Linked DNA regions of Coturnix japonica. The protein of the gene in region 4 interacts with the protein of the main gene of each other region in a pairwise test. Links are inferred from orthologs where the notes say so. Each region holds a gene or a part of one and is shown on either strand. Other genes may lie near its edges.

What was found.
Region 1: the proteins of TXLNA (region 4) and RINT1 interact in binary tests that used the Homo sapiens proteins (3 or more experiments, as listed by UniProt). The two-hybrid records come from large-scale screens. The link is inferred for Coturnix japonica from reciprocal best matches to the Homo sapiens genes TXLNA and RINT1.
Region 2: the proteins of TXLNA (region 4) and MED4 interact in binary tests that used the Homo sapiens proteins (3 or more experiments, as listed by UniProt). The two-hybrid records come from large-scale screens. The link is inferred for Coturnix japonica from reciprocal best matches to the Homo sapiens genes TXLNA and MED4.
Region 3: the proteins of TXLNA (region 4) and BTF3L4 interact in binary tests that used the Homo sapiens proteins (3 or more experiments, as listed by UniProt). The two-hybrid records come from large-scale screens. The link is inferred for Coturnix japonica from reciprocal best matches to the Homo sapiens genes TXLNA and BTF3L4.
Region 5: the proteins of TXLNA (region 4) and DTNB interact in binary tests that used the Homo sapiens proteins (3 or more experiments, as listed by UniProt). The two-hybrid records come from large-scale screens. The link is inferred for Coturnix japonica from reciprocal best matches to the Homo sapiens genes TXLNA and DTNB.
Region 6: the proteins of TXLNA (region 4) and TFIP11 interact in binary tests that used the Homo sapiens proteins (3 or more experiments, as listed by UniProt). The two-hybrid records come from large-scale screens. The link is inferred for Coturnix japonica from reciprocal best matches to the Homo sapiens genes TXLNA and TFIP11.
Region 7: the proteins of TXLNA (region 4) and CEP44 interact in binary tests that used the Homo sapiens proteins (3 or more experiments, as listed by UniProt). The two-hybrid records come from large-scale screens. The link is inferred for Coturnix japonica from reciprocal best matches to the Homo sapiens genes TXLNA and CEP44.

Annotation. Positions count from the first base shown.
Region 1 is NC_029516.1:12,589,369-12,593,299, forward strand, and holds the start of RINT1 (RAD50-interacting protein 1), read left to right. Parts: upstream 1-1,131; 5' UTR 1,132-1,292; coding exon 1,293-1,469; intron 1,470-1,537; coding exon 1,538-1,779; intron 1,780-2,633; coding exon 2,634-2,807; intron 2,808-2,883; coding exon 2,884-3,033; intron 3,034-3,931. Other genes in the region: PUS7 (pseudouridylate synthase 7 homolog), read left to right, coding at 74-210. UniProt on the Homo sapiens protein: Involved in regulation of membrane traffic between the Golgi and the endoplasmic reticulum (ER); the function is proposed to depend on its association in the NRZ complex which is believed to play a role in SNARE assembly at the ER.
Region 2 is NC_029516.1:150,970,056-150,974,180, forward strand, and holds the start of MED4 (mediator of RNA polymerase II transcription subunit 4), read right to left. Parts: upstream 2,801-4,125; 5' UTR 2,728-2,800; coding exon 2,630-2,727; intron 1,731-2,629; coding exon 1,664-1,730; intron 1,015-1,663; coding exon 844-1,014; intron 225-843; coding exon 167-224; intron 1-166. UniProt on the Homo sapiens protein: Component of the Mediator complex, a coactivator involved in the regulated transcription of nearly all RNA polymerase II-dependent genes.
Region 3 is NC_029523.1:21,661,798-21,665,820, reverse strand, and holds the start of BTF3L4 (transcription factor BTF3 homolog 4), read right to left. Parts: upstream 2,801-4,023; 5' UTR 2,669-2,800; intron 1,804-2,668; 5' UTR 1,794-1,803; coding exon 1,740-1,793; intron 839-1,739; coding exon 725-838; intron 1-724. Other genes in the region: TXNDC12 (thioredoxin domain-containing protein 12), read left to right, coding at 3,090-3,168.
Region 4 is NC_029538.1:4,544,835-4,549,124, reverse strand, and holds the start of TXLNA (alpha-taxilin), read left to right. Parts: upstream 1-1,490; 5' UTR 1,491-1,661; exon of another isoform or gene 1,662-1,675; intron 1,676-2,025; 5' UTR 2,026-2,061; coding exon 2,062-2,170; intron 2,171-2,972; coding exon 2,973-3,311; intron 3,312-3,797; coding exon 3,798-3,889; intron 3,890-4,237; coding exon 4,238-4,290. Other genes in the region: KPNA6 (importin subunit alpha-7), read left to right, coding at 106-290. UniProt on the Homo sapiens protein: May be involved in intracellular vesicle traffic and potentially in calcium-dependent exocytosis in neuroendocrine cells.
Region 5 is NC_029518.1:95,642,749-95,646,927, reverse strand, and holds the start of DTNB (dystrobrevin beta), read left to right. Parts: upstream 1-1,379; 5' UTR 1,380-1,438; exon of another isoform or gene 1,439-1,502; intron 1,503-1,828; 5' UTR 1,829-1,897; intron 1,898-3,440; exon of another isoform or gene 3,441-3,459; intron 3,460-4,179.
Region 6 is NC_029530.1:6,267,218-6,271,451, reverse strand, and holds the start of TFIP11 (tuftelin-interacting protein 11), read left to right. Parts: upstream 1-1,434; 5' UTR 1,435-1,526; coding exon 1,527-1,723; intron 1,724-2,467; coding exon 2,468-2,471; intron 2,472-4,234. UniProt on the Homo sapiens protein: Involved in pre-mRNA splicing, specifically in spliceosome disassembly during late-stage splicing events. Intron turnover seems to proceed through reactions in two lariat-intron associated complexes termed Intron Large (IL) and Intron Small (IS).
Region 7 is NC_029519.1:38,911,846-38,915,345, forward strand, and holds part of CEP44 (centrosomal protein of 44 kDa), read left to right. Parts: intron 1-307; coding exon 308-454; intron 455-1,333; coding exon 1,334-1,438; intron 1,439-1,774; coding exon 1,775-1,948; intron 1,949-2,351; coding exon 2,352-2,561; intron 2,562-3,500. UniProt on the Homo sapiens protein: Centriole-enriched microtubule-binding protein involved in centriole biogenesis. In collaboration with CEP295 and POC1B, is required for the centriole-to-centrosome conversion by ensuring the formation of bona fide centriole wall.

The DNA.
Region 1 (3,931 bases), on a different chromosome or scaffold from region 4:
TGGATGGCACTCAGAGTAAGCATTATTTATGTTCTTTACTTTCTTTTTGCTTTGTCTCTCCTCTTTACGATAGATGGTAAATTCCGGGCACTGAAGATGGAGTTCTCCCTTCCGCCATCCACTTACGCCACTATGGCGATCCGAGAAGTTCTGAAGATGGACACAAGCATTAAAAACCAAACGCAGCTGAACACTACCTGGTTACGCTGAGTGAACTGCTGGCACGGCCTAGATTTTAACATGTACAAAGTGTTTTCCTACTTACGTTCTGTACAAATCTTTGAAGGGTGGCAGTGAGAGATTTGTATTTTTTAAGTTTTTATTAGTGCAAGCAGTTAAATTAAGTAGTTATTAGCAAGATGCCGGTTGTAATGTAATACGGGCCTTAGTGACTGGTGCTTTGTAACGAATGGACCATGAGGTCGCTTGAGCTGTGTTGCTGCATCTCTGAGAAGCAGGCTTATGGCTTCTGACCTGGGCACATGTTCGTCTCGCTCTGTTTCAGCGAGCAGTGAATGTTTTTATCAGTTCAGCACACCTTGAGATCTCTATATTAAAGTACAGCATTAGGAAAATTAGAGCTGAGTGAAGGTACTGATGGCTGTTTGCTTCCAAGAAGCTGCTGCGGTCAGCCGGGCTGGCTGTGTGCTGCCACAGGGCACAGCTGTTTTAATTAAACACGAGCTTCTTCCGGGGAAAATGTGTGCATTTTCAGCTTCACCAAGACAAGGTACTGGGAATAGTTAACCAAACACAACGGTGTGTCAGTCCGTAGCGCCTCGCTCTGTCCCTGGCTGAGCCAGCCTGCTGCTGGGAGGCAGAACGAAGCTGCATTTTAAACGATTCTAAACCAAATAGGGAATTCGTGCTGCTTGTGTGAATAAAACGCCGTGAACGGAAGGTGCTCCCGGCTCTGTGCTCCCTGAGGTGGGGTTATGGGGGAGCTGTGTGGAAGGGGCGGGCGCGGCCATGGGGGTGGCTGAGGGGGAGGCGGGTGCGCATGCGCCTCTGGGCCCGCCCCGGCTGTGATGTGTGCGGCCTTGGGCCGCGCTGTGCTGACGCGGCGGGGCGGGGAGCGAGGGGCTGCGGGGCCGGCGGTTTGATATTGCTATTAAAGGCCTCGTTTTAAAGGCCGGCATGGCTATTAAAGGCCTCGTTTAATGTTCAGGTGAAGAGGAATCGCCCTGCGTTCCCAGGAGCCCCGTGTCCTCAGTAGGTCGGTAGTTGGTCGTGTTCCCTTAGTGGTAACCAAGTAGAAATTACGTAAATAACATTGCGGAAAAAAAGAAGGCATGGCAGCCGTTAATGTGCCGAAGAAAGAAGTCGTCAGAGATCCGGATCGCTGCGATATCCCGTACTACGTTTCAGAATTTGTGGAAAGAGAAGTTGGGAATGACTATGATTCTCTGAAGAAGCTGGGCAGCCTCATTGAGAAGCTGTCTGAAAACAAGAGGCAGCTGGAAGAACAGGTAAGTGTCTGTGCTCATTCTCCGTGTGATTTTTCTGTGTGAGGCTTAATGCATGTCTGTAAATGCAGGTTCTCACGGTTTCATCCGAAGTCCCTAAAAGAATTCAGAACGCCTTAAAGAATGCAGAGGACTCAAAACAATCTCTGAATCGGCTTCTAGAGGAAGAAACTCTCCTGTCCGATTCCATCAGCAGCCACTTAGAGAAAGCTGAGCCGTGGATGGAGGATCTCGGGGTGCTGATCAGCCAGGTGGAGGAGATTGAGCATCACCTGGCCTATCTGAAATGGATTTCCCAAATAGAAGAGTTAAGGTAAAGCCGATGTACTTATGGAGAGTTCTTACTAGTGGTATCACACAGCTTCTTCAAAGATTCAGTGTTAAATAATCACATTTAAGGAATAAACGAGAGCAGCAAGTTGTCATCTGGCCATATAAACTGTTAACGTGTTCTCTGGTGAGAACTGGAAGTTATTGCTCTGGCTTAAGGAAGAGAACAGTAACTGTGTCGATATGTGGATGGAACTCTTTCACCCACTGTAAATTATGGTGTAAGAACTAAAATAATACTGGAATATCTTGAGCGGAAATGTTACGCTTCAGACTTCGTGATTCTGAGTTTTCATTCTGGTACACTGATTTTATCGTAATGGGAATGAACAGTGCTGTTTTAGTTAATGTGATTTGTAGCTTCCTTCAGTGGAAAACTTTGTGTAATGCTTGTAAAGAATGTCAGAAATTGGAAGATTCCTTTGGGTCAGATTTTGTACAGAGAGACTTAAGTTATGAAACAACTTGGTCTGAGCTATGAAAATGTGACAGGTGTGCTGCAGTCTGAAATTTGCTTCCAGTTTTCCTCCTGGGAAGCGTGAGGAAAAGCAGATCTTTGAACAAGTTCCATAAAGAGCAGTGCTTCAAAGAACTTCGGGCCTCCCTTCTTTCCTTCTGCCTTCAGGTCTCGGTGACAGGCAACTTAAGGAACTTCACACAAAGAACTTGTTTCGTGAATCCTTGCTGTAGGATGTATGTGATGGGAGTGGTAACCTCGTTAAAGTATTTCAGATTGAGCATGTTTTCTGCCAGTTTCTCAATATGATGGTTCTTTTGTGTTATCTTTAGTGAATTTTTGTCTCAACTCTTCTTGTATTTATGTTCTTGTGTTCATAGTGATAACATTCAGCAGTATCTGATGACCAACAATGTTCCGGAGGCAGCCAGTACTCTAGCGTCTATGGCAGAACTGGATATTAAACTTCAGGAGTCATCTTGTTCTCATCTTCTTTCGTTTGTGAGATCCACTGTTAAATTTTGGCATAAAATTCTTAAGGACAAGTTGTCAAGGTACAGGACGACTCATCACTCCCTCATTTCATGTTGTGCCGTAGCTTGGTGGTAAAGTGTGTGTTTTGTGTTGCAGTGACTTTGAAGAAGTGCTGACCCAGCTTCGTTGGCCATTTGTGGGGCCACCGCAGTCTCAGGCGTTTGGCCTTACTGCGCCAGCCAACGCTTCTGATGTTTACAACAATTTAGAGGTTTTGTTCTGCCAGCTTCTGAAATTGCAAACATCGTATCCTTTAAAAGTGTAAAGAAAATTGCCTTGGGGGTGTTGGTTGGTGCTTAGCTAAACATGAGCCAGCAGTGCACCCAGGTGGCCAAGAAGGCCAATGGCATCCTGGCTTGTGTAAGAAATAGTGTTGCCAGCAGGAGCAGGGAAGTGATTGTACCCCTGTACTCAGCTCTGGTGAGGCTGCACGTTGAGTACTTTGTTCAGTTTTGGGCCATTCACCACAAGAAAAACACTGAAGCCTTGGAGTGTGTCCAGAGAAGGGCAACAAATCTGTTGAGGTGTCTGGAGCGCAAGTCTTGTGAGAAATGGCTGAGGGAAGTGAGATTGTTCTGTCTGGAGAAGAAGAGGCTCGGGGGAGACTTCAGCTCTCTCTACAACTGCTTGAATGGAGATTGGTGTAACTGGTGATAGGGTGAGGGAACTGTCTCAAGTTGTGCCGGGGGAGATTGAGGTTGAATATTAGGAACAATTTTTTCTCTGAAAGAGTGGTCAGGCATGGGAATGAGCTGCCCAGGGAGGTGGTGGAGTCACTGTCCATGGAGGTATTCAAGAAACATTCAGGTGTTGTACTAAGGGACGTGGGTTAGTGGAAGAATATTGGTGGTAGGTGGGTGGTTGGACTGGATGATCTTGGGAATCTTTCAACCTTGGTGATTCTGTGGTTCTATTCTGCGATCCTGATCTGCCTTTGAGGTAAATCAGAAGATGCTGCTCATCCTGTTCCTTTAGTTTGAGGGTAAAATCAGGCAGAGATAAAACTCAGGCTTTTTTTTCTTTCTTTTCTTTTTGTTTTTTCCCAAACAAACAAAACCCAAAACAGGAATAAATGTGGTCATGTTATGCAACGTGGCGCTGGAACAATTCTGGTTGGTTAGACCAGGCTACTTGCACCAAGGTG
Region 2 (4,125 bases), on a different chromosome or scaffold from region 4:
AAACCCTTTCACTTTTCCAGGTAGTCACACTGAAATGATTTGATTTAGGCAATATGAAATCTGTAATAGCCTTAAGAGAAAATTACTAACTTAGATTACTAACTTGAGCTCACTTGCAACACTCTTTACAACTGTTTGTATGTTATGTACGATCGCGGATACTCACCTTTCCTTGCCTTTTCAATTGATTTCAGTTTTTCCTTTGCTTGATAAACCGCTGTGGCCTAAATGTGAAAAAAAACAAGAAAGAAACAACACTATCTACAGCAGGGGAGATTCAAGCTGGACATTAGGAAATAATACTTCTCAGAAAGGGTGGTCATGCACTGGAATGGGCTGCCCAGGAAAGTGGTGGAGTCACCGACCATGGGGGTGTTCAAGGAATGACTGGATGTTGTGTTGAGGGACATGGTTTAGTGGGAGCTATTGGTAATAGGTGAACGGTTGGACTGGATGATCTTTTAGGTCTTTTCCAACCTTGGTGATTCTATGACTCTAAACCAAAACTTCACTGTATCTTTCATTTGTATCCTTCTGTATTAAGATCTGTGTGACTAAACCCTTGATGTAACTGCATTTTAGGAGAGAAACTTCTCCGGAAACGCTTCAAAATATACAGAAACAAAGTAGATTTGTAGAAAATTATCAATATAAAGTAACTGAATGCCATGATAAGGAAGTAGTTTTACTGGGAGGGGGGGAAGACAATAAAACAACCAACTCTAAAGCTCTCACAAAGTTTTAAACATTTCAAACTTCTCAAACTAACACAAAACTTTCTCCAAAGCTTTTCCCCTCCCTACTAGCAGATGCTCAGAAGCAAACACATCATTATGAACTTACCAGTATGTGCTCTGCTTCTTTCAGTTGCTTCTGCAGCTGCTGAATGTCATTATCTCTCTTTTCTACTACCTTTTCTAAAAGCTGCATTTCATGATGGATTTTCCCCTGATCAACTGCCAACTTCATTAGCTCTTGAAACTCTCCATCTCTCTGAATCAGCAGCTCCAGGATCTATTAGACAAGAGTTTTGTAGAACTTTTAATTAGCTCAAGTAACAACGCACCCTCCACCACACTGCAAAAAGCAACTGATATCCACAAGATTATTATTTCTTGCTCAGCTTGCAGAAACAGCCTACGAAGCATGAAACAAATGAACAAGCAATCAAAAACATGAAACCAAGAATGCTTTTTCAGTGATGCCAAAGCTTCATCATCATCGTTAGGAGTCCTCAGTCTCAGGACTAAGTCTCAGGACACCCAGGAGGGGAGTAAACTCTTCGAAATGGCTGACAATAGCAGGACATGGGGAAATGGTTTTAAGTTAAAAGAAGGAAAATTTAGGTTGGATGTTAGGGGGAAGTTCTTCACTAGGAGAGTGGTTAGGCCTTGGAACAGGCTGCCCAGGGAGGTTGTGGATGCCCCGTCCTTGGAGGTGTTCAAGGCTAGGTTGGACGGGGCCCTGGGCAACCTGATCTAGTAAAGGTGTATGTTTGGTGGCCCTGCCAGGCAGGAGGGTTGGAACTACATGATCCTTGAGGTCCCTTCCAACCCGGCTCATTCTGTGATCTGTGATTCTGTTAGTTCATGTACAAAGGGAGAAAATAAGAAGACATAGCATTTACCTGCAAAAAGGATAGCAACTAAGAAAGTCAATTTACCTGGCTCTCTTCTCCTGGTTGTGGAAGCTTCTGGTTTCTTGAAATTGCCAAAATTTCAATTAGTTCCCTAAAAGGAAAACAGTATTTATGCAGTTTTCTAAGCTATTATTTGTAAATCACACCAAATCATCCCCAACTGAGTATTTACATCATTATTAAATCATTCTTGTTCTTAAGTATTTTACAGTTTTACATCACAGTGTTGACAGGGATTTCACTTTTACTTCCATAAACATAAGTATTTCACAATGGTGTATCAGCTGTGCACCAAACTCACAAGAATTAGCTTAAAAGAGCTTCTCAAACAGACCTCTTGATCTTGCCTCCATTTAGTTTTCCCACCATCATGTAGAGCCACAAAGAACCTCAAATGGAGCAATGAAGTTACCATCCTTGAAGGTGCTCAAGAAACATATAGCTGTGGCACTGAGGGATGTGCTTAGTGGGCATGGTAGGGACAGGGTGATGGTTGGATTAGATGATTCAAGAGGTCTTTTCCAACCTTAATGACATTCTCTACGACTAGAATAAAGTTGATTGCGACTGTGAAAGGCCCAGCTCCATGGTACTGCTGATCACTCACATGTTGCTGACAGGCTTTGGGTTTGCTATCGCAGAATCATTAAGGCTGAAGAAGACCTGTAATTACATCCAGTCCATCCATCAGCTCTTCCCACCATGCCCACTATCCCTGTGGCAGTCACTGAGCCACACGGCAGGTTGGTAGCGAGTAATAAGAGCTGCTGGAGAGACAGACTGCTTGGGAGGCAGACTGCACAGGTGCCAGCGAGGAACAAAGCTCCGAGCACACGAACCAGAGCACGGACACAGCTCTCCTGTTGCCCCCCGGGCCCCACGCGTGCGTTCGGCCCCAGGCCGCCGCTCATCCTTCAACCCAACCCCGGCTCCTCGCTCGCTTTCCCCGCCGGAGCCTCGACACCGAGTCTCGGCCATCCCATCGGGTACCTGGCCAGGAGTTCCAGATCCTCCAGCGCCGCCAGCAGCCTCTCCCTGGTGCTGCTCCGCTCACCACCTCCCCCGGCCGCCGTTGCCGCAGCCGCCATCACGCTCGCGGACCCGCCCCCGCCGTAATCCAGCCCCGCTCGGGCGGGACACAGCGGGACACAGCGCCTCCAGCGGCCGAGGGACTGCGGCACGACCGGCAGGAGGCGGGAAGCGGCAACGGCCGCCCTGAGGGGCGGGGAAGGGCGGGACGGCGCGGGAGGCTGGGGCGTGGGGAGCCGCCATGTCGGGGGGCGGAGATGACGTTCGCTTCGGCTTTAGGTGTGGGCTTGTGAGCGCCGTGTCATGGAGCTAGTTCTTTGTAGGTGGAACTGTGCTTAGAATCGTTTCTGAGCCTAAGTTCGTAACCACCAGCTCATCCCGCCATGCACACTAACCGTGTACCTCAGTGCCACAGCTGCCCGGCTCTTGAACTCCTCCAGAGACGGTGACTCTAAGAGCCTCTAAATGGGATTCATACCTACTCTAAAGATCTAGAAAGCAAATGATAAAGAAAGGGGGTATGACTGAATTCCATCTTATCATTTCGTACTCAGTGTCTGTGGGTGCTGATGTCTGAAAATCCTTTAGGTGGCTTTATCAGATGGAGGAGGAAAGTGGCTGAAGAATGTTAAGAGTGATGCTGAAGGAGCCAGGATCACCTCTTGCCTAGGTTTCCTATCCCACAAACAGCAGGACTTCACAGCTATCAAGGAAAAATGACCATCCCAATTTGCCAAGGCTTGCCCATAGTAGCCAACCGCAGCTCTGCTTCATTACAGAGGTCTGCTTGCAATGACAGGGCAGCAAACATGCAAGTGCTGCCCTCTGTCATGTCAGCAGTTGAGCTAGAATTAAAATATACTGAGTTGTATGGGTTATGTTTTGGGGTTTTTTTAAGTGTTGCTGTAATTCGGGTGGTTCTGTAAACAGGCCTCTGGCTCTGGGTGGGGACACAAAAGAAGCCAGACTGAAGCCAGTGGAATTTTTTACATTCATGAAATCTTCTGGTAATATGAAGAGATCAGGACGGAAGGTGGAGGCAGATGAGGAGTGAAAACAAATCCAGAGCCAGGGTTTATGTCTGGGGTGAGGACTTAGGCAGAAGCCATGGTGTCCTCAGCCTCCACATTCTTCTCTTGCCAGCAGGCAGCTGCCGAACCCGCCAGCAAAGCAGTGATTCACTTCTCTCTTCATTAGAGAAAGCTTCAGATGAATGATAACGTCTCTGGATGTTCTAATACTAACGCTGATTATCTTTTTACCTTCTGTAATAAGTACGTCCCTGAGAAATTTACACTTATTAAAAAAATGAAAGGCAAGAAACTCATTAATCAACGATCCTTTGAATTGTGGTTTAAATAAACAATTCAGCGTTATGAGATCCATGATGAAGCAGTGAGATTTGGCAACCCTGAAATGGAGATAACCGCCAACGAGAGTTATTTAATATTCATTTA
Region 3 (4,023 bases), on a different chromosome or scaffold from region 4:
TCACAGATTAAGGATGCGTTTTCAACCAAGCAGCACTATAACATGGAGCTCGTGACGAAGGAACACCTCCTCCTCCCACATAAAAGCGTCACTCCCTACAGCAAAAGAGCTTCTATTCCAGTTCATATTTTATCCTGAAAACTTAATACACAAAAATAGTACAGAATAACTGAAGCCTTTCATTGCAACACAGAAGCTGCTTCCATAGAGCTTTGCTAGTGCTTTAAGAGGTGCCAGACTCCTGCCTCTACCAAAAACAATCCTGGTTTTATTTTCACAAAGTCAAAGCATCCAGTTCTGATAACACAGACTTGTAGATTCCTATTCCAAGGACTTTGATTCCCTCCTTTATGTTCTGCACCCCACAGGAACTGAATGTGCTTGTGCAATAAATACTATCATCGCTCTACTGTTAAAATTAGGTAATTTCAGTTCAAGAGGTCAAGAATCAAGAGCTCTTTTGTTCTGCAGTTAATGCAAAGACATACATCACAGGCAGCTTACTATCCCCTGGGCTCGCTGTCTGGATAGAAAAACCTTTTCCCTCCTCTTTCTAGATATGTGCACATTAATGAAAACAAGACAAATTAAAAGAAAATAATAATAATAAAGTAACTCCACCAACACATAACCAGACAAATGAGTCTGAGATAGAAAATGAAAGTAAGAAGCAACAAACCACCACAGTGAATTTAATTTTACAAAGGAAACACTGTCACTATACCTCCTCAATGCCAGCAATGTTATTTACTGCCAGTTTTTTGAGTGAGCTCTGAAGTTTTTTGTCATCAGCTGTCGCTGTTCTGTGCACCACCTTCTTCTTTCTGCGAGCTGTTCCCTGGAAAAGAATCAACAGAACAGCCTGCAACGCTCAAATTCTCACAGCACTTTCAATTTAAAGTCACCTCACACTCAGCAACATCTCTTTTCCGAGCTGTAAGAATGCTCTGTGGCAGAAAACATGTATTAACTTTCTTCACTTATAGTTTTAATTGCCAGTCCCAGCTTTAAAATCCTTCTTAACTGTAGAAGCCAGAAGAAGCACAGAAGTATTCCCTTTTTCCAAAAGCTGGATTATAAAAAATATTAGCTTATAAGCAACATGTAAAAACACTGGTTAAGAACTTCATTTCATCCAAGATGAAGCAAATGTAGAAATCCACTCTTTTGTAAGTAGTTAACAGCTTTAAACTGCTCCAAAGACAGCAACTCAAGAACTTCTAATTTGCAAGCTTTTGTACAACCCCCAGACTCCTGCCTATAGTTAGGAAATGAATGCTCACATGGAGTCATCTATATGCTTTCATAGAATCACCAAGGTTGGAAAAGACCTAAAAGATCATCCAGTCCAACCTTTGTCATATTACATACGGGCTGGCATAGATAAAAGAAAGAGCCCAGTGCACAGCCAGATAAACACTGGAGCTCATACCAAAAAGAAACTTCCCAACAGGTAGAAGAGAAAGAACTCAAGCATCAGGTGAGCTTAAACTGACCTGAATACAGGTCACAACAAGTCACTGATTTAGAAAGAGCTTGCACTCGGGAACCACTCATACAGTTACCCGTGAACTGAAATACAACTGCTTTTCAGGCAGTTTTAAGATGCAGACTGTTTCAGGTCCACATCACATGACAAATCCTTTTTCCAGGCCCCTACATGCCTTCTAATGAGAAGTTTCGCTCTGTGCCTACAGATCCAACCACAGCAAGTACTACAGCTCTCGTGGCTTTCTTACCTTTCCTCCTATTCGGACCTGAGCTTGAAGCTTGGCTAGTTTTTCTTGATTCATAGTGTTGTGTCTAAAGAATGAGGTACAAATACAAGTTAACTAGCAAAATATTAAGAAAAAAGTCACTGAAATAACTCAAGGAAGCACGTGAACACAAACATCTCATAAGCACAACATCTAAATAACACAAAGCAGCATCTGCACCACGATGACGCAAACCAACGCTGTGTTTGATGTTGCATCAGTTCGAGGCACAAGCCGTGAATTTCCAAGTCTGTCAGCTCAGGGCCGGACCCACCTCGTTACTGACTCAGCCCAAAAGCAGCACGGGCTGCTCCAAAGCACCTTTGTGCTGAACGGAGCCCAGGGCGAGGCTGAGCCAAATAACAAACCTACAATGGATCTGTGCAGCTCACCAGCTGGCTCCAAACTCGAGAGGTTCACACAGTGCCACAATATGAGCGCGGAGCTCTGGCAGCCATCGCTCCAACCCAATGGCGCGTAAGTGAAGCACCTGGGCGCTGCCACGGGCCGAGCGTGACCTTTAAAGGCCAGGAGACACGAAGCCCGGTATGGGCTGAAAAACGGCGCTGCCGCTGATCAGCCCCGAGCGGCCCGAAGAGGCGGAAGGAACGTGCACTGATAGAGCGACAGCGGATGGAGGCCAACAACAGCGCCGGGACCGGCACAGCGGGGAAGGGAACGGAGTATGCAGGGCGAGTATCCGGGCACACAGAGGCCGGACGGGACACGGCGCAGACACTGCAGCGCTCAGCACCGGGCACGGCCCCGCAACCAGGGCCCGGCCCACGGGGACGGAACGGGGCCGAGTGCCGCACAGCCCGCAACGCATCACATCGCACCGCACCGCACCGCCCTCCCGCTGCCCCGCAGACCACGAGCCCACGGGCCGTGCAGCCGCGGGCCGTTCTCACCTGGTCCCACAGGCCCGTCCGCAGCTCCGCACGCGGTGAGAACAAGATGGCGGCCGGGAAGGAAAGAGCGCCGCACAGAGAAAGGAAGGAAGCTTCGCGCCACGTGACGCCGCTGCGCCGCCCGGCCCCGCACGCGGATTGGAGGCTGTGCACGCACGATTTGCATAGCGCGGGGCGGAGCGGGGCGCGGGGCATGCTGGGAATTGTAGTCCGATCCGGGATGAACATGGCGGCTCCCAGAGGGCCCGGCGGCACCGCCCACATCCGCATTGCGTCACTTCCGGGGCTTTAAAAAAGGGAGAAAAAAAAGGAAAAGGAGAAAGATCCGCGGTGCCACCACAGCGCCCGGCTGGCACTGCGTGTCACAGCGTGTCACTGCGTGTCACTGCGTGTCACTGCGTGTCACAGCGCTGCTGGGAACATGGGGCCTCAGCACGCGGCATCCGCACTTTGCCTCTGTCTGATCGTGGCCAGCGCCGCCGCCGAGGGACTCGGAAAGGGTCAGAGAGATGGGAGAGAGCGGGGAGGGGGGGAGGGGTGTTGGGGCTGTGGTCGGGGCTGTTGTCAGAGCTGTTGTTGGGGCTGTTGTTGGAGCTGCTGTTGGGGCTGTGGTTGGTGCTGCTGGTGCTGGGGCCGGTCTGTCCTGTATCGTCGTGGTGGCCTTTGAATGCAGCATTCAACGTGCTGGTACTCGGTGTAAATGAAACCTGTTCACCTCACGGCTCCCAGCTCCCTCAGCCCATCCGAGTCTGCACGTCAGTGCCTCGCTGGTAGCTGGACCAAATATTGGATGTGTTTGTCATACGCGTTCACGGTAGTTTGTACTGGGAGATAAGCCGAGGTCATACAAACACTGTGGCAGCAGTTGCAGTCTGCCAGATGCTGAAGGAAGGCACCACAAGGCTTTGCTCCGCTCTGCAGTTTCTTTGCTACAGGTGTTTGTTGGAGGCACTGCCTGCCATGCTGTCAGTGCTGGCAGCTCGTGGCTCCTGGTCCTACTGTAACTTCCCGCATTATCCCCATGGAGGGGATGAAGCCTGTGCCGGTCACTGAGTTACCCCAGCCCTCAGCAATGGGGAGGGGAAAGTCATGGCTGAGTTTGGCCTTTTGGTACAGCCCATGTCACTGCAGAGATGGGACCTCAGAGGAGTTCATCAAGGAAGGCTCCCCTTATGTCAGATCCCCTCCATCTCAGCCCTTCATGTGATGGTTGTGGCTAAAAAATGGCAGTCTCTGTTTTCCTGTTGTTTGCATGTTAGCTGACAGAACAAGGTTTGATACCTGCTTGTTGGATACGTGTTTCACATGCTGTTTGGTCACTGCAATGCTCAGAAACCTGCATAGCGCTGCTCCTT
Region 4 (4,290 bases):
TAACACAGACAAGCAATGAATAGGGGGAAGGGTGGAGGATGGATCGGGACAGCTTGAACGTTAGGATCTCCTGTCTCATCACATTCCACTTTTGTCTTTTCTAAGGCTTGGATAAGATTGAATTCCTCCAGAGCCACGAGAATCAAGAGATTTATCAGAAGGCATTTGATCTGATTGAGCACTACTTTGGAGTAGAGGATGACTCTGCTTTAGCTCCCCAGGTAGATGAGAACCAGCAGCAATTCATCTTCCAGCAACCTGAAGCCCCTATGGAAGGCTTCCAGCTATAATACGCCCCAGGCAAAAAGACCACCACAAATTTGCCACAAAACAACTGGGAGAAGCTGCTGATCCCATTTCCTCCTTGCAAACGGAAGGCTGGACGCTCACTCCACCTGTTAGGAAACAATTCTTCCTTCAAACGAATAGACAGAGTGCTTTATCCTCATGAAGAAAATGGGATGTCTTGCACGTTTATTTTCTTTTTGCTGCTGCATACGTGTCTTTAAAGCAGGCATCTGGGTGGAGGAAGGACACTGAGGTAACTCGTTGCACCTCTTGGGTTTATTTTTCTTTGTGGTGATCTCTCCCAAATGTCACTTCTTACCTCGGGTACTTAATTGAGGTTTCAGCGTTGGGTTGGGTAAGAACAGAAATAGAAAAGCGAGTATTCAGACGAGAATAATTCTGGAAACCTGGGTTGATCTATTTAATTTTTTTGCACATGTTACTCTTATTAAAGACTCTAATTTGCCAAGAGCAGAGTTTAGCCCTGGCCTTTCTGCGCTCCCCATGCAGCGATCCTGGCAGAGCTGGGCTGGATTCACACTGCAGAACATGGACAAAGGGTGAGGGGCTGTGGGAGGATCCTCCCCGTGTCCTGATATTGTTGGTTGGTTTGAGCTGCTGCTGTTGACAAGGGTCGAAGCAGCCGGAGCTGGTGGCTGTGAGCAGGGCTGGGGCTGGGGGGGCTGTACTATGGGAGCTGCCCCATCCCCAGCTGTATTGGAGCCCCACAGCCCGGTTCTGGTGCTGTGTGAACACACTGGGCCTCATTTCCATGTTTCCGTCCCGCTCACAAACATTTTCCTTCATAAAGTCTCAGATCTGTGTATTTTATACGATCTATCGGCACCTGTTTGTCTAATCGGGCTCCAGAGGAAACCAACACCTGTGTAATGTAATGTGTGTAATAGCGCTGTGAGCCGTTACCTGCACACGAGGCCCGAGCTGCTCCCGTTATAGCGCTGTGTGTGGCCGCGCTCACGGTCGGTTCCTCGTACCGGGCCGGGATCGAACAAAGCGCTGAGCGGAGCCGGGCCGGGAGCGAGCGGCTGTGGAGACCGGGGGGGGCGGAAGTGGCTGCCGCGGGGCACGCCGGGAGTTGTAGTTCCCGCGGCTCTTCCCGCTCCTCGCCTCTGTCTCCCGGCGGCCCCCGCGGCTGCTCGGCGCTGATTGGTCGGCGGAGCGGGGCGGCGCCTGCGCGATGAGCGCACGCTGCGAGGCCCGGCCCGGAACCGCTTCCTTCAGTGCGGGACCGGCGGGGGGAGCGGGCGTTGCTGGGCGCTGCTGGGCGCTGCCCGCCGGTACAACGGGGCTCTGCCGCCTCAACCGGCACCGACCGCACCGGGAGGAGCGGCCGCTACGTCACAGCGCTGCCGGTGACGTCACGGGGGTACGGGCGTGACGTCACGGCGGGAGGAAGGGAGGTGTTGATGACGTCACGGGGGTCACGTGGGATGGCGGGAGCGGACGGGGGCTCCGGTCGGACCGGGGGGATCCGGGGATACCGGGCTGTATGGGGATACAGGGCTATAAGGGGATACCGGGATATGTGCGGGGATACCGGGCTGTGTGGGGCTGATACCGGGCTCCATGGGATCCGGTGCCGCGCGGCTCCTCGATGCCGTCCCCGTGGCGCAGCGCTGGGTCGCGGCGGGTCCCGGTTCCCGGTTCGGTCCCGGTTCGGTCCCGGTTCCCGTCCGCTCCCTCCATTCCCCGCTCCAGCTGCGGTTTCCGTTCCAGCGGTTCTCCCGGTGCTGAGCGCGGAGCGGTGCCGCCATGAAGAACCAGAGCGGAGACGGCAAAGCGGCCCCGCGACCCGCGGCCAAAACCGGCGGCGATCCGGGGGACGAGGCGGAACCGGCAGAGCCCAGCGCGGCCATGGAAGGTGCGGGCAGCGCCGCGTCCCGGTATTGGGTACGGGGCGGCCCGTTCTGTCCGGTCCGTTCTGTGCGACTCGTAGCGTTGATCCCAGCAGCACAGAGTCCCTGAGCGATCGGTTCCTTTAGTGCTGCTCTGTGACATTGAGACAGGAATGGGTGGTCAGCTCACAGCAGGTTCAATTAACCTTGCCCTGCGTTTTAGTAACTGTGGAACGTAGGAGATGCACAGCAATGCAGTGAGTTCAATAGCTGATGCTGTACAGCTCTGCTTGGGAGGAGTTGTGGATGTAGAGAAGTGCTGAGGGGCTGCTGGGATGGGATGGATTGTGCTGGGATGGGGATGGGATGGGATGGGGATGGGATGGGATGGGATGGGATGGGATGGGATGTGGGTCTGAGCCGCTACAGCTGCTCGTATATGTGAGCAAAGAGGCAAACTCAGCTTATAGATCTATTGTTGTGCAAAAAAGGCTCTGGGGATATTAGCAGGCTGCTGCTCCGAGGGAAGGCTCACACACAACCTGCTTTGGTTAGAGGATGGTGGGAGGGGGCAGTTCTTGCTCCTGACAGATGTCAGGGTCTCGGTCATGCTCTCGTGATCAAAAGAGGCTGTTAGGAATGCACCTCCATTGTCAGGGCAGCTGGCTGGAGGCACAGCCTGAACAAAGCAGTTTGTGTGCTGGGAGTTCAGCCCGCCCTGGTGCACTGAGGTGCTCGGGGAAACCTTCCCCTTGCTGTGTGTGCGTGGAGAGCAGAGAACAGGCGGCGTGGGGAAGCATCACGCCTTTGTGCTTGTATCTCCGACAGCTCCCCTTGCACAGGACGACACAAAGTCCTCCCGGGCTGCCGTGCAGGATGTCTCTGAGGAGCTGAGCAGGCAGCTTGAGGACATCTTGAACACGTACTGCGTGGATGCCAGCCAGGAGGGTCCGGGTGAGGACGGTGGGCAGAGTGAGCCCGTGGAGCCAGAGGAAGTGGAGAAGTGCCTCAGTGAGTCCCCGAGGAACGGAGATCAGGAGTCAGGCAGCCCCGAGATGAATGGTGAGAAGGAAGGAACGAAGGGGACCGAAGAGTTTCGACCTGGAGACGAGTGTGGAGAGCGGGATCAGAAGAAGGCTCAGGAAAAGAAGAAAGCCAAGGGCCTCGGTAAGGGGTTTCCTGCTGTGGTTGTGCTGCCAGCCTGAGAACTTTGGTGCAGATGTGGATTTTATACTGCACTAAGTGCTGTTAGAGAAATGAATACCTTAGGTACGTGTTTGGAAATAGTACAGCATCTTATTCTTGTGGTATGGGAGGAAACGTTGAGTGTTGCAAAGACACTCATCAGTCCTGAGTGCTGCTGCAGCCTCTGAATTGTGCAGGTTTCCCCTCTGCTGCACACAGCGTTGTCTAGTTGGCCCCTTGGTGGTTCCCTACTCTGATAACCACGTTTCTCCTCAGCTGCTTCAATTGTTCACTGCTGTATGTGGTGAAATCTGGGGGACAAACCCCCAAATAGGCACTGGAGATGGGAACTCTGGGCCAGGGTGGTCACAGGTGTGAGACCTGGTTTCTGTCTCCTGTCCTTGCCTTTATAAGCCACAACTCCATGTACGTGACGTCACCTTTCTGTTTAATTCTGTCTCACTGCAGGCAAAGAAATCACTTTGTTGATGCAGACCCTGAACACCCTGAGCACGCCAGAGGAGAAACTGGCAGCACTGTGCAAGAAATACGCTGAGCTGGTGAGTCCTCGTTTCTTCATTCCAGGCTCTGGGGCAGTGGGAGGACGCTGCTGCAGTGAGCACTGGGACAGCACTCAGAGCTCTGCTCTGTTTAAGCATTGAGTGCTTGGAGGTCCTGAAGGAATGTGCACTTCTCACCAATTCCAGTAGGATGTTAATTCAGGAAGGAGAAAGGCTGTGTGTGGGAGACCTTGGGTTCTGTATTCATCTGACTGTGCTTTTTATTATAAAGCTCCTGTCCTTTCAGAGTAGACAGAACACCTATTTGATCCCTGTGTACCCTTATATGGGCACAGCATTGCCCTGGTCTGTTTTGCTGCATCTCTGCCCTCTGCTCTCCTACCCTAGCTGGAAGAACACCGAAACTCCCAGAAACAGATGAAGATTTTGCAGAAGAAGCA
Region 5 (4,179 bases), on a different chromosome or scaffold from region 4:
TGACATTTCTAATCACTCCATGAACCACGTCACATTTGGAGATGCCGTATGAAGGAGGGTCCGGCTCACCCGCTGTCACAACGCAGTGAGCTCAGACAAGCGATGGTTGTGTAAGCTTCATGCTCTGGCTCTTCAATGTGCCATCAAGAGCTCCCCTTGGAGCAGCCAATTCTGCACAAATCTCTCCTGTTGTAAGACCAGACCTGAGGTGGTGCTGTCCTCCTGCACTTCACCTTTCCGACAGCCAGCGGCTCCAATCTGCGCCATATTTTGCACCATTCATCACTGAGGAGAGGTTTGTCCTTGGAATGACTTTGCTGCCTCAGTGCTGGTGAGACCTCACAGCTGGGGAGCTCGGGCTGCTCCCTTTCCTTGGGTCTCTGTGGTTTCTTTGTGGTTCTTTTAGTATTCTTGCATCACTATGGGAAAAGAAAGAAAAAGAACACAGGCACATGAAAACCCATACACAGCCTGTTGGAAAATATCTCCTTTTACTTCAGATTAATTGAAAAATACACTGAGTTATTCCAAGTCCTCCACTTCTCCCTACAACACCTAACCAACCCCAAGGCTTTATTTTTCTGCTTTTATTTCTTCTTCCCTGCTGCTAAATTTGGGTTTGCCGTCTCCCTTCACACTTACCGAGACCCTTTGCTGACCTCCCCCTGAAGCTGGGCCAAACCACAGCTCTTTAAATGGCAGCTGTGCTGAAGCTGAGTCCCAGGAGGTGTTTTGCTCTTGTAATTCCATTCAGATGCGGATGGCTCCAATGCAGTGGGGGCACAGGGCAGGCAGCAGCGCTGGATGAGAAGAGGTAGAATTGTTTTACACAGCATCCCAGTTGGGTAAAAGGAAAACATAACAGTGGGCTGAATTAAAGTGTTACTGAGAGAGAACTCAAAGAGGGGAGGTTGAGGTTGGATGTCAGGGGGAAGTTATTTACTGTGAGAGCGATGAGGTGCTGGAACAGCTGCTCAATGAGGCTGTGGATGCTCCGTCCATCCTTGAGGGTGTTCATGGCCAGGTTGGATGTGGCCCTGAGCAGCCTGGGCTGGTATTAGATGTGGAGGGGGTTGAAGCTTCACTACCGCCATCTCGACGTCCCCTCATCGCCCTGAGGAGAGGCGCTGACCGCCCACTGCGCCTGCGCAGGAGACGGGAGCGCGCGAAGCCCCGCCGGCTGTTGATTGGCTGGAGAGCACGAGCGCTCCCGAGGAGGGGCGGGGCGAGCTCACGCACGTCCGCCGCCGGAGAAGCGTCCGCTCGCCGATTGGCTGTGGAGGTGAGGAGGCGGGGCGAGGCACGAGGGCTCGCTCAGCCATTGGCTCTCGGAGGCAGAGGGCGGGGTGGGATTGGCCGGAGGGTGCGCGCCCCCGCGGAGACGCTTTGCGATTGGCTGCGCGCCGTGAGGCGGCCGGGGACCGTTGGAGTGGGGACGGTGAGGCGGAGCGGCGGTGGATGCGGCCCGGGCGGAGCGGGGCGGGGCGGCCAACACGGTTATGGTGTGTGGGGGCTGCGGGCATCAATGGGACCGGTCGGATTGTCTATGTATTGGGCTGCGCTAATAGCGGCGGGCTCCGAGAGCCGAGAAACGGGGAGGGCGGCGTGGGGCTGAGGAAGGAGACCCGTCCCAAGCTCGGTGCTGGGAGTGCTGGGCCCTCCAGGCCGTGACATGGGCAGCCCGTCCGTGTACCGACGTGGAGCCTCCCGCTAAGGGTGCAGCATGAAGTTGGGTCTTAGCTTGAGCTGAACGGGGCCGATAACCGGCTGTTTGTCATAGTGGCTCTTTCTTTTTTTTTCTTTTCTCGTGTGGTTGGTTGTTTTTCAGGTCGTCCTTCGATGTTGGCAGAAGGAGTTGAGGTGGCTGCTGCCCTGAGAGGCTCCGTGTGCCATCCAGGTAATGTGGCATCCAGGTAACTGTGGCTGGGCTGATGTGCACGGAGCTAAACAGGCTGTGTCTGTGGGTTCATGGTCAACAGAGCATCCTTAGGGTTGGAAGGGAACCTTAAAGACCACCTGTCCCACTGAGCAGGGACACACAGCTCCATCAGTGCTCACAGCCCATCCAGCCTGACCTTGGCTGTGTGCAGGGATATCCAGCACCTCTCTAGGCAACCTGATGGACCTGGAGAGCCATAGTGCTATATATGTATATGTCATAGTGGTGAGGCTGGTCTCTTTTCAGTAGTGCGTGGGGATAGGACTAGGGGTAATGGGATGAAAGTACAACATAGGAAGTTCCTTTATACAGTGAGGGTGACGGAGCACTGGAACAGGCTGCACAGGGAGGTGGTGGAGTCTCCTTCTCTGGAGATATTTAAGACTCGCCTGGACGCCTACCTGTGTGACATGGTGTAGGGAGCTGCTTTGGCAGGGGGGTTGGACTCGATGATCTCTAGAGGTCCCTTCCAACCCCTACAATTCTGTGATTCTGTGCAGCGCTCCTCTTATTCATAAGTGATTGTTAAGCCCTAGATAGGCTGGGGAGCCCTTTGCCAATGGTTTGTGTGCTGCTTGAGAACGCTCTGATAACACTCGAGCCACTGCCTTGAGTTTGGTCATCAGCTGTGCAGTGCTGCTCTTTAAAAACGCTTTGTACTTTCAGTTTTCTTATTCACGTTCCTGAAACTGAGTGTGCAGTGCGTCAGCTTCCTTGTTCTGCTGTTGGCTGCTGTGGCTTTCCAGGCAAAAAAAAAAAAAAAGAAGTTAAAATTCTCATTTCCACGTTGGGAAATGTGAGAAACGTTGGCCTGAAGAATTACTTGGGTTGGTTTTTATTTGTCCTCCTGCCTTTCATTGGTAAGTGTGTGTGATCCTGTACTGCCAGCTGATATTACAAAGTGCACTCGAAGGAATAGAGGTAACCCAGAATTGTCTGTTTGAGGCTGTTGCTTTCTGTGTTTCCAAAGGATATTTTAGATTAGTGGAGAGTTTGGGTAAAAGGGTGTTGTTGCTGACAAGCAACTGGAGAAGATGGAAAGAATTAATTGCTGTAGGGCAGTTCCAGCTTAGCCCTCTCGTTCGTCACATTATTTGTCAGTACCAGCATAAATAACAGTTGTGAGTGGTATAGAAAGCAGCCTGCTTTTCTTAGCCTTATCACTGCTGCTCTTTAACTTTGTGCTTTTGGGGTGGTGAGATTTGGTGATAAGGACTTAAATTTGTAACATTTATGTTGAGTTATGTTTCGGGTTTTTCTCTCAGTGCCAAAGTGGAGAAATCATGATTGTAAGGTGCACATTTGGTTTAGTGTTTAGATAGGCTCCTGCTGATAACTTGTGCCTAAGCTTAGCTTCGTGGCTCTCTTGCAGTCATGGAATGAATCATAGAATGGCCTGGGTTGAAAAGGACCACAGTGATCATCCAGTTCCCCCTGCTGTGTGCAGGGTCACCAACCATCAGACCAGGCTGCCCAGAGCCACATCCAGCCTGGCCTTGAATGCCTGCAGGGAAGGAAAGGTGCTGTATCATATCTGTGTGCTTTTTACAAAACCTTCTTTAGAAGCAGCTCCTGATCCACTGTGTTTAAAAGAAAATTAACAAACACAAGGGAAAGCCCCCAAAATGTAAAAGCAACACCAAAAAAACGCTAACTTGTGACTTTGCAATGTAATTCAATACAGGCTTGGTCTTGATCTGGAGTTTCTTGATGATGCTCTTTTAAACTGCCATTCATTATGGCTTGTGAAGTTCTTAAGCAAACATTGGAGCTTTGTTTGGGATCCGTAGAACCGGGAGGTGTATGCGGTTCCTCATGGATGCTCTGTTGTCAGGTTGGTGTAGATATTGAGGTAACATATCAAAGCATTCTTAATACTTCTGTGCACCATTACTTATGCTTTAATTAATTCCATTTAGGGTTGGGAACTGAGTCTGAAATTGTAGTTGAACTAGAAGAATGATCAGAATTGTGTAAAATATGCTTTGAAAGAAGGCGTTGGTGGTCTGTTAGTGTGAGTGGCTCTTCTTTTTCTGTCCTTGGGTTTCCATTGAATGGTTTGGGTTGGAAGGGACATTAAACCTGTTAAATGTATGCCCATGAAATAACTACTAGAGCTCTTCCTTTTTCCTGGTAAGAGGTGTAGTGAAGTAAAGAATCATAGAATTAATTACAGAATGGCCTGGGTTGAAAAGGACCACAATGATCATCTGATTTCAGCCCCCCTGTTATGTGCAGGG
Region 6 (4,234 bases), on a different chromosome or scaffold from region 4:
CAGTTGCTTTAGGTTTTCAGAGCAATGGGAGACAGTTTGTCAAATCTCTTCCTTTTCTGAGCTCTGGAAACAGGATTAATCCAGCAAAATCACAACCAGCCACTTGGGGGTGTTATTACCGGGTGTGGAGAGGGCAGGAGTGGGGTCGTGTATGTGTGTTGAGCCCCAGCAGAAGGGGGGATGTGCCCTGTGTGCATTTCACAAGGGGGTGGTGGTGTTTGCTGCCAGCTTGGGAGAACAGAACAGCTCTCCTTGATTTCTGCAGCAGCTGTTTGTGTGTCAAAGGCTCTGAGTACAAACAGGTGCTGTTGCCCATCACGCAGGGGTTGGAGCTCAGCATCCAACAATTGCTGTCTCACAGTGGTTTTCAAGTTGGCTGTTGGGACTTCCTGACTGCTCAGACTGTTTCTTCCCTTGCAGGCTGCTGCAAACGGCCCAGGGTGGCTCCGTAAAGAAGAGTTTGCAGTTGCACCGATGGAGATCTGTTATCCAAGCATATTGCTTGCTGATATTGCCAAAATGACTGCTGTGCCAGGAATGTATTTGCATTTATTTGCAAAGGCCAAACGTTGTACACTTCGATACCACTCGTCTCCCTTCGCTGGATGCTCCGTGGTGAAAGATCTGTGGAAATGAAGCACGACCGACCCTCCAAAGTGCATTGGAAAAGAGATTTCCTGTTATTTTCAGTGTCTCGTAATGCTGTTCCTTATACGTGCAGATCAGAATAGGTGTCATAACCGTGTATAGAGCATTTGTTGTACAGGTGACAATGCGGCGGACTGTCTCTTCCGTTCACTTGTCATTGACAGATTCTATTTAAGAATTAATATATGAGGTCAATCGTTTCACTCCTGGCTGCACTCATTCGAGTAAACTCTTGGAAAGGGCTGACAATAGCAGGACACGGGGAAATGGTTTTACCAGTTAAAAAGAGGGAAGATTTAGCGTTGCGATTGTTTGGGGGGAAGCTTCTTCACTAGGGAGAGTGGTTGAACCCTAGGAACAGGCTGCCCAGGGAGGGTTGTGGATGCCCCGTCCTTGGAGGTGTTCCAAGGCAGGTTGGAACGTGCCTGGGCTAACGCTGATCTATGGGGATCTATGGGGTCTCTATGCGGGATTCTATGGGTCTCTATGGGCGATCTTATGGGTGGTCGTATGGGTCTCCTGGGGCAACCTGACTAGTAAAGGTGTAATTTTTGGGTGGCCCTGCCAGGCCAGGGGGGCTTTGGAACTACATGATCCTCTGAGGGTCCCCTTCCAACCCGGGTCATTCTGTGATTCGTTTCTCATGACTAGAGAAGTGATTTAATGTCACAGAGCTGCCTCTCGGGATACCTCCCGAGGAGCTGCTCACTCGACAGGGGGCCTAGAGGGGCGCGTTCCTTCTAGCCAGCATCTCTATGGTTAGGGCATGGTTAAAGTGACGTATTTTTCCGTCGCCGGAAGTGATGAGGTTCGGTTCCGTCCCGCCGCCATAAAGAGCGGTAGGTTGGAGCGGGGCCGGGTCGTCGCTCGGATCCATCATGTCGATGTCACACTTATACGGCACGGACGGGGAGGATGGAGTGGAAATGGAGAACTTCGAAGTGTCGGATTGGGACCTTCAGAACGAATTCAACCCACACCGGCATCGCCACCGGCAGACCAAGGAGGAGGCCACCTATGGCGTGTGGGCCGAGCGGGATTCGGACGATGAGAGGCCCAGCTTCGGCGGCAAGCGGTGCGGGATGGACCGGGCCGGGCTATGGGGGATGGTCACATAGGCCCAAAGGGCGTCAGGGCAGCAGGGGGTTGGGTTGTGGGGTATAGTGGGGTAATAATAAAGTGTGTTATAGATATAGGTTAAGCTAATACATAATCAGATAGTCTCCTCTCTCCAGTTCTGATTACATATTCATTACGTTCCCTATGACTCCCCGTTCCCCGCAACCCATTCCTTCATTCCCCCTGACCCATTCCAACTGACCCGCCCCTTAATAGCAGGACACGGGGGAAATGGTTTTAAGTTGAAAGAGGAAGATTTTCAGGTTGGATGTTTAGGGGCGAAGTTCTTCACTAAGGAGAGTGGTAGCCTGGACAGGCTGCCCAGGAGGTTGTGGGATGCCCCGTCCTTGAGGTGTTCAGACGCAGGTTTGGACGGGGCCCTGGGCAACCTGATCTAGTAAAAGGTGTATGTTTGGTGGGCCCTGCCAGGCAGGGGGTTGGAACTCCCATGAACCTTGCAGGTCCCTCCAAACCCGGGTCATTCTGTGATTCTGTGACCCTTGGCCGTTGTTTTTGGGGTGAAATTCTTGCCTGTTTTTTTTTCTTACTTGGTGTTATCTGCTGGTATCGTTCTCCCATGTCAGCGATCATCCTTGCCCGGGGGTATCTAATCTTTACACTTCTTATCTTATTGCCGCCTCTTCTCTGGTTTTTCTTTTCGACTAAGTGTCTGTAATTCCCCTTTTCCCTGCCCTTTTAGAATGGTACACTATCTACAGTTTACCCTTTGTCTTGGTTTCTGTGAAAGTTCCCCTTTCTATTCTATGCAAGAGTGTTACCTTTACCATCCATTTTGGTGGCTCTTGCTCACTCTTACAATTCCCCCTTTTCTTTATACATAGCAGGCCTTTTACCTCTAGATTCTTAAGGGTCTCAAATTACATATATGACTCCGTTCTCTACCCTTATGTCTCACAAACGCTCGTATTGCCTTTGCTGTACAGCTTAAGTGAGGATAGGAATCCGTAGTAGTTATTACGTTTGTAAACAAGCACATAGAGCACTTTACTACTATACAGGTAAAACTTATTAACAGCACCAAGATGGCTATAAATTGGAGATTTACCGATCGAAAATGAGCTAGCTGTTATCAGATAACGCCTACAATTTCGTGGTTATACCAGCTCGAAGTGGAGTTAGTGGTTCCCACAAATCCTTTATCTTTCGCCTGAGAACCTAGTGTTATCAATATGCGCGACACAGGTAAAACACGTTGCTCAGCTCAATCTTCACCAAGGAGGAGGAATACCGATGTTATGTCTTCGAGAGGTCAATGGAAAGCATCGTTTGAAGAACTCGACAGGTCTTAGGTTTTGGTTCAGTCTCTACACTATACGGAGGAATGATAAACAGGTAACCGCTCCCTCGATAAGTGGCTGGAGATTGTGGTTGACCGAGTCCCCACCGCGGTGAAACTTCAATGAAGCCGGCGGAGAGCGCGGGCTTGAGCGAGTCTCGGTGTGTGGAAGGGAATCTACTGATGAAGATGAGAAGCCCCATTTAGTAGCCATGGAGGAAAAATCCCTAAAATGGGAAATAGTTGCCGAAGACAGTTGAAAAAACAGTGAGTGAGCGCAGAGGGAATACTGAGGCGAGTTGGTGCTTTGTTTCAGCCTGGAGAAGAGATAGGTTTGCGGGGTGACCTCATTGCAGCCTTTCACCAATATCTGAAGGGAACATTATTCTGCCCAGAAAGGGAGTAACAGCTCTTGGAAGGGCTGATCAATAGCAGGACTACGGGGAAATTAGGTCTTTAAGTTAAAAGAGGAAGTATTAGCAGTTGGGATGTTAGGGGGAAGTTCTTTAAGCTAGGTAAGAGTGGTTGAGGCCCTGGAAAAGGCTGCCCAGGGAGGTTGTGGATGCGCCCGTCTTTAGTAGTGTTTCCAAGGCAGGTGGTAAAGCGGGGTCCCACTGGGCATTACCTGATCTATGTAAGTTGTGTTATTGTTTTGGTGGCCCTGCTATGGCAGGTGGGGGTGATTCCTTGAGGTCTGCCGACGGTCCTCACTCTGGAGTCATTCTTGTAGTGAATTTCTGTTGTAGATAGTGGATACTATGATCTGTTTGTCGTGAGCTCTAAGAGGATAATTTCTGAGGTTCTTGCGGTATAAACAGAGCTATTCTGAAAGAAATGTGCCTTCATTTGTCGCCAGATGTGGGCAAGTTTAGTGTGGATTAGTATAGTATACTTCCCTTTTACAGAATTAGGGTTATGGTGCTGAATAGGCTCCAAGGTGTTAGGTTCCTGATATTGCCGCAAGGCTTGGTTGTGTTTAAGAGCCGTTTGGATGTGGTGCCTCAGGATATGATTAGGTCAGTAAAGGGTTTTTAGAGTTAGGGCATCTGGTTAGGCTGCGGTTGGACTTGATGATCTTCAAGGTCTTTTCCAACCTGGGTAATTCTATGATTCTAAAGGGAGAACCAATTAACACTGATGTAGCACGTGGGTTATGGCATGAATTTGAGG
Region 7 (3,500 bases), on a different chromosome or scaffold from region 4:
TTGAACAATTTATGTGGTCAGAAATAGACACACAGAAATCATAACCAGCAGAAGAAAAAAGTTACAGCACCTTTCAATAATTATAATAGAAACACAACTAAGAAATTAATTTGATGTGATATTTTAAAATAATTTTATGTTTGAGCTCCAATTTGTAACAGCTTATAAGTTAAAATCTAATCTAATGCTTTGAACTGAATAAGTGCAGAATGAAAGACTGCAGACAAATAAGAACTGGAGCATGTCATTTCATTTCCACAATAATTTTTTACAGTGATTTTCAAAGCAAACTTTTTCTTTTTTCCAGCTTCTTCGAGATCAATTTCACTATAAACCAATCCTAACAAAAGAGCAGTTTCTTCAGTTTGGTTTTGCAGAAAGAAAAATGCAGATTGTTTGTGACATTATTAACTGCGTGGTGAAAAAACATAAGGAATTAAGTAAACTGAATAAGGTACTGATCAAATGGTAACTTCATGGTGAAAAATGTTATTCTTGATGTGGTTTTGGTCCTCTAGCTAGAAGGTAAAAATCGGTATATTTTTATCAAAATTTGGGGAAAATTAGTATAAAGTTGCAATTTGAGATTCCTGAATGCTGAGTATATAAAAGACACAAGTTGCCAGTGTATTGTACTATAAACAAAATAAAATTACTAGAACAAAGATCAGTGAAATACTTTGTATCTTAATGGATAAGTGGACTTTTCTATTTCTTAACACAGCAATTTTTTGTGTAACTCAAGACATTACAGGTAGATTTAGAACCAGAATCCTCTGCAATATTAAAGTTCTGGTAACATTTAATATAAATATGAGCTTGTATTTGTGTTTTGTTAGTATACATTTTAAGTCTGATTATTTTTTATTAATCATATTTGATGTACATAAATTATTTTTTTATCGTCTATACTGTGTTTAAAAACATGATTTTAATAAAAAATTGTCTGCTTATTTCATTTAAGTTTATAAAAACTTCAGAATTTCTCTTTGCTTTATTTCTAATTGTGCTTCTGAAAGTGACATACTTTTATCCTATTTGACATTCAACCTTGCAAGTTCAGAATTTGTGATCAACTTTCATGCAGCATTGCATAGGTGTTAAGAATATGTATTTGTTTTGAGATCTGTTTTCTCTGTTAATTTAGGATATAATTTTTTTATATTATTTTTTTAAGACAGTGTTGTATTTCAGAGACTTAAATGTGTTTACGTGTGTATGGTGCAGTTTTCTTGCCTGCTAGCATTGGTTGGAAGTGGAGTCTTCTTTCCCTCTGAGAATAATGTTTCCATATTAGAACGACTTTTTTTTCCCCCTCCTCTTTATTTTTAAGGTTAAGTCGCAAACAAGGAAGAAATTCAGACCTTCAAAACGTGAAATATGGTCAAATTGTGGTAATGTTCTTGTTGATCTCAGTGGCACTCTGAATTCCAAACAGGTATGAAATGGGTTTTTATGTTGTGTGTCTAAAAGGTAGTCTCACTTGTAGCAAGTCAGACTCTTTCTGGAATATGTGCTTTCATGTAGGTTTTTACAGTTGATCATGCTTGATGGTTTTGTTTTTTTTTCATCTCCATGCGGTTGATGAAGATAATGGCTGTTACAGAACTGCCTATTGTGGCTTTCTATGTTTTGCAGTCAGTTGGGATAAAACTTCAATTTTAACAATTAAATGCTAGAGTGATAGATGTATTGTACCAGTTATCTATCCAATGCATGTGAATATTCTTGTACTGAGAAACATCAGTGGGCTTTCATTTTTATTTTTTTAAAGCGTGTACAGAAGATGCCTCTTGTAGAACGACACTCAGGAGATGAAGTTAGTGATGAGCTTCCTCTCGCACCTATTAATCCAACACCCCTTAATCCACCATCCCTTCCAGCAGAGGGAGATAATGAAGAAGAATTGGTCTTAGATGATGATGTTGAGGAAGTTAAATGTGAACAAGTAAGAATATATAAATTAAATATGCATTAGATATTTAATGCATTCCTAACTTTTTTTTTTTACAGGACCTTTTTTATGGGATGAGGTTTTAAAAGAATAGTTGGATTCTCTTTAAATATAACTAGTGTGTGTGTGTGTGTATATATATATATATATATACACACAATATATATATATTCAGTGGTTAAAAAAGTCTGATCTTTCAAGTGCCAGTTCTGTTAACAGATCCTGTAAAAGCTTAGTTCATTGTATTATTAGTTTATAGCAATTCTGAAAGATAATTTTCTAATGTAGCATAATGTGCTTACTTAAAATTGTGGAAAATTGCATTTAATTTTATTGATCAAAGGATGAATTACATCTAAGCCAGAGTTAGAGAACGTGTTTTTATCCATGTTTTCAGGTCATAGAAGGTAATTCTCAGATGGAGCTCCTGCAGCATCAACTTGCTGATTGCCAGGAAAAGCTTCATAAGCTAGACTGGATGGAAGATAAGCTACGTGTTTTAGAAGAGAGGCTGAAAGGGAAGGTGATTATAGATGAGAAGGACTGGTATAATTTGTTGAGCAGAGTTTTGCTTCTTGAAACAGAACTGTTGCTGCAGTCCAAAAAGGTATATTAACTTCAATTTTATTTCTATAATAAAAGCAGATGCGGCTATTAGAATACTAACTTTTAGTGTTTTCCAGCTATTACTAGGTGACAGAAGTGTTGCTAAACACAGTGCTGTCTGTTTCTGTTTTTCCTACCTCTTGATGTATGCTTTCCTCTATTCTTAATAGGCTGATCTTAATGCCAGTGTTATTTGAGGATATATTTTTCTACTTAATTGTTACATTCTGTTGCTTTCTGATATTCTGTACCAACTTCTCCTTTGGAGACTGTTTCCAGCAGGTGTAGTTCAGTATATCTTCGAAAGAGTGACCGTGTGACTTTATATGACAGTGAGCTTGTTGAGATAACTTTCACAGACTTAAAATTATGCTGTCTTTAAAAGTTTACCGTATCTGGAGAATTTCATTGTAATGGGAACACACTTAAGGCTTCCTTGTCCATATTAATTTGGATCTCTCATTCTGGGCTGCATATTTCAGTAGTCTGGGGTGGTACTTCTGCCATTGATACAGCTATACTTTCTTTTGAGTTGTCCAGGCTGATCTTTAATCAGATATATTTATTCTCTTTGGAAGATTAAGATTTCACTATATCTTACCATAGTTCTGTGTGCATGCAGTTTGCTAGTTAGGCTGAGTTAAAACTTTTTAAATGAGCAAATTTTCAGACTGATCATGGGATCATCCAGAAATAATAGTGATTAACATATATATATTTGTTAAAAAGTCTCAGGTAGTAATGGCTTAAGAGATTTATAATTTGAAATCACTTTCTTGTGCATAAATATCATAATGTAATTGTGAGTGGATGTATGTCCAAGTGAGTCAGCCAATATTATGTTCTTTCTTCTCTGATCAATTTCAAGGGCACTTCAGCTACACTGCCAAACTGATTTGAGTCTTTTCCAAATGCATTTTCTAAAAGAGGTGGTTGCCGC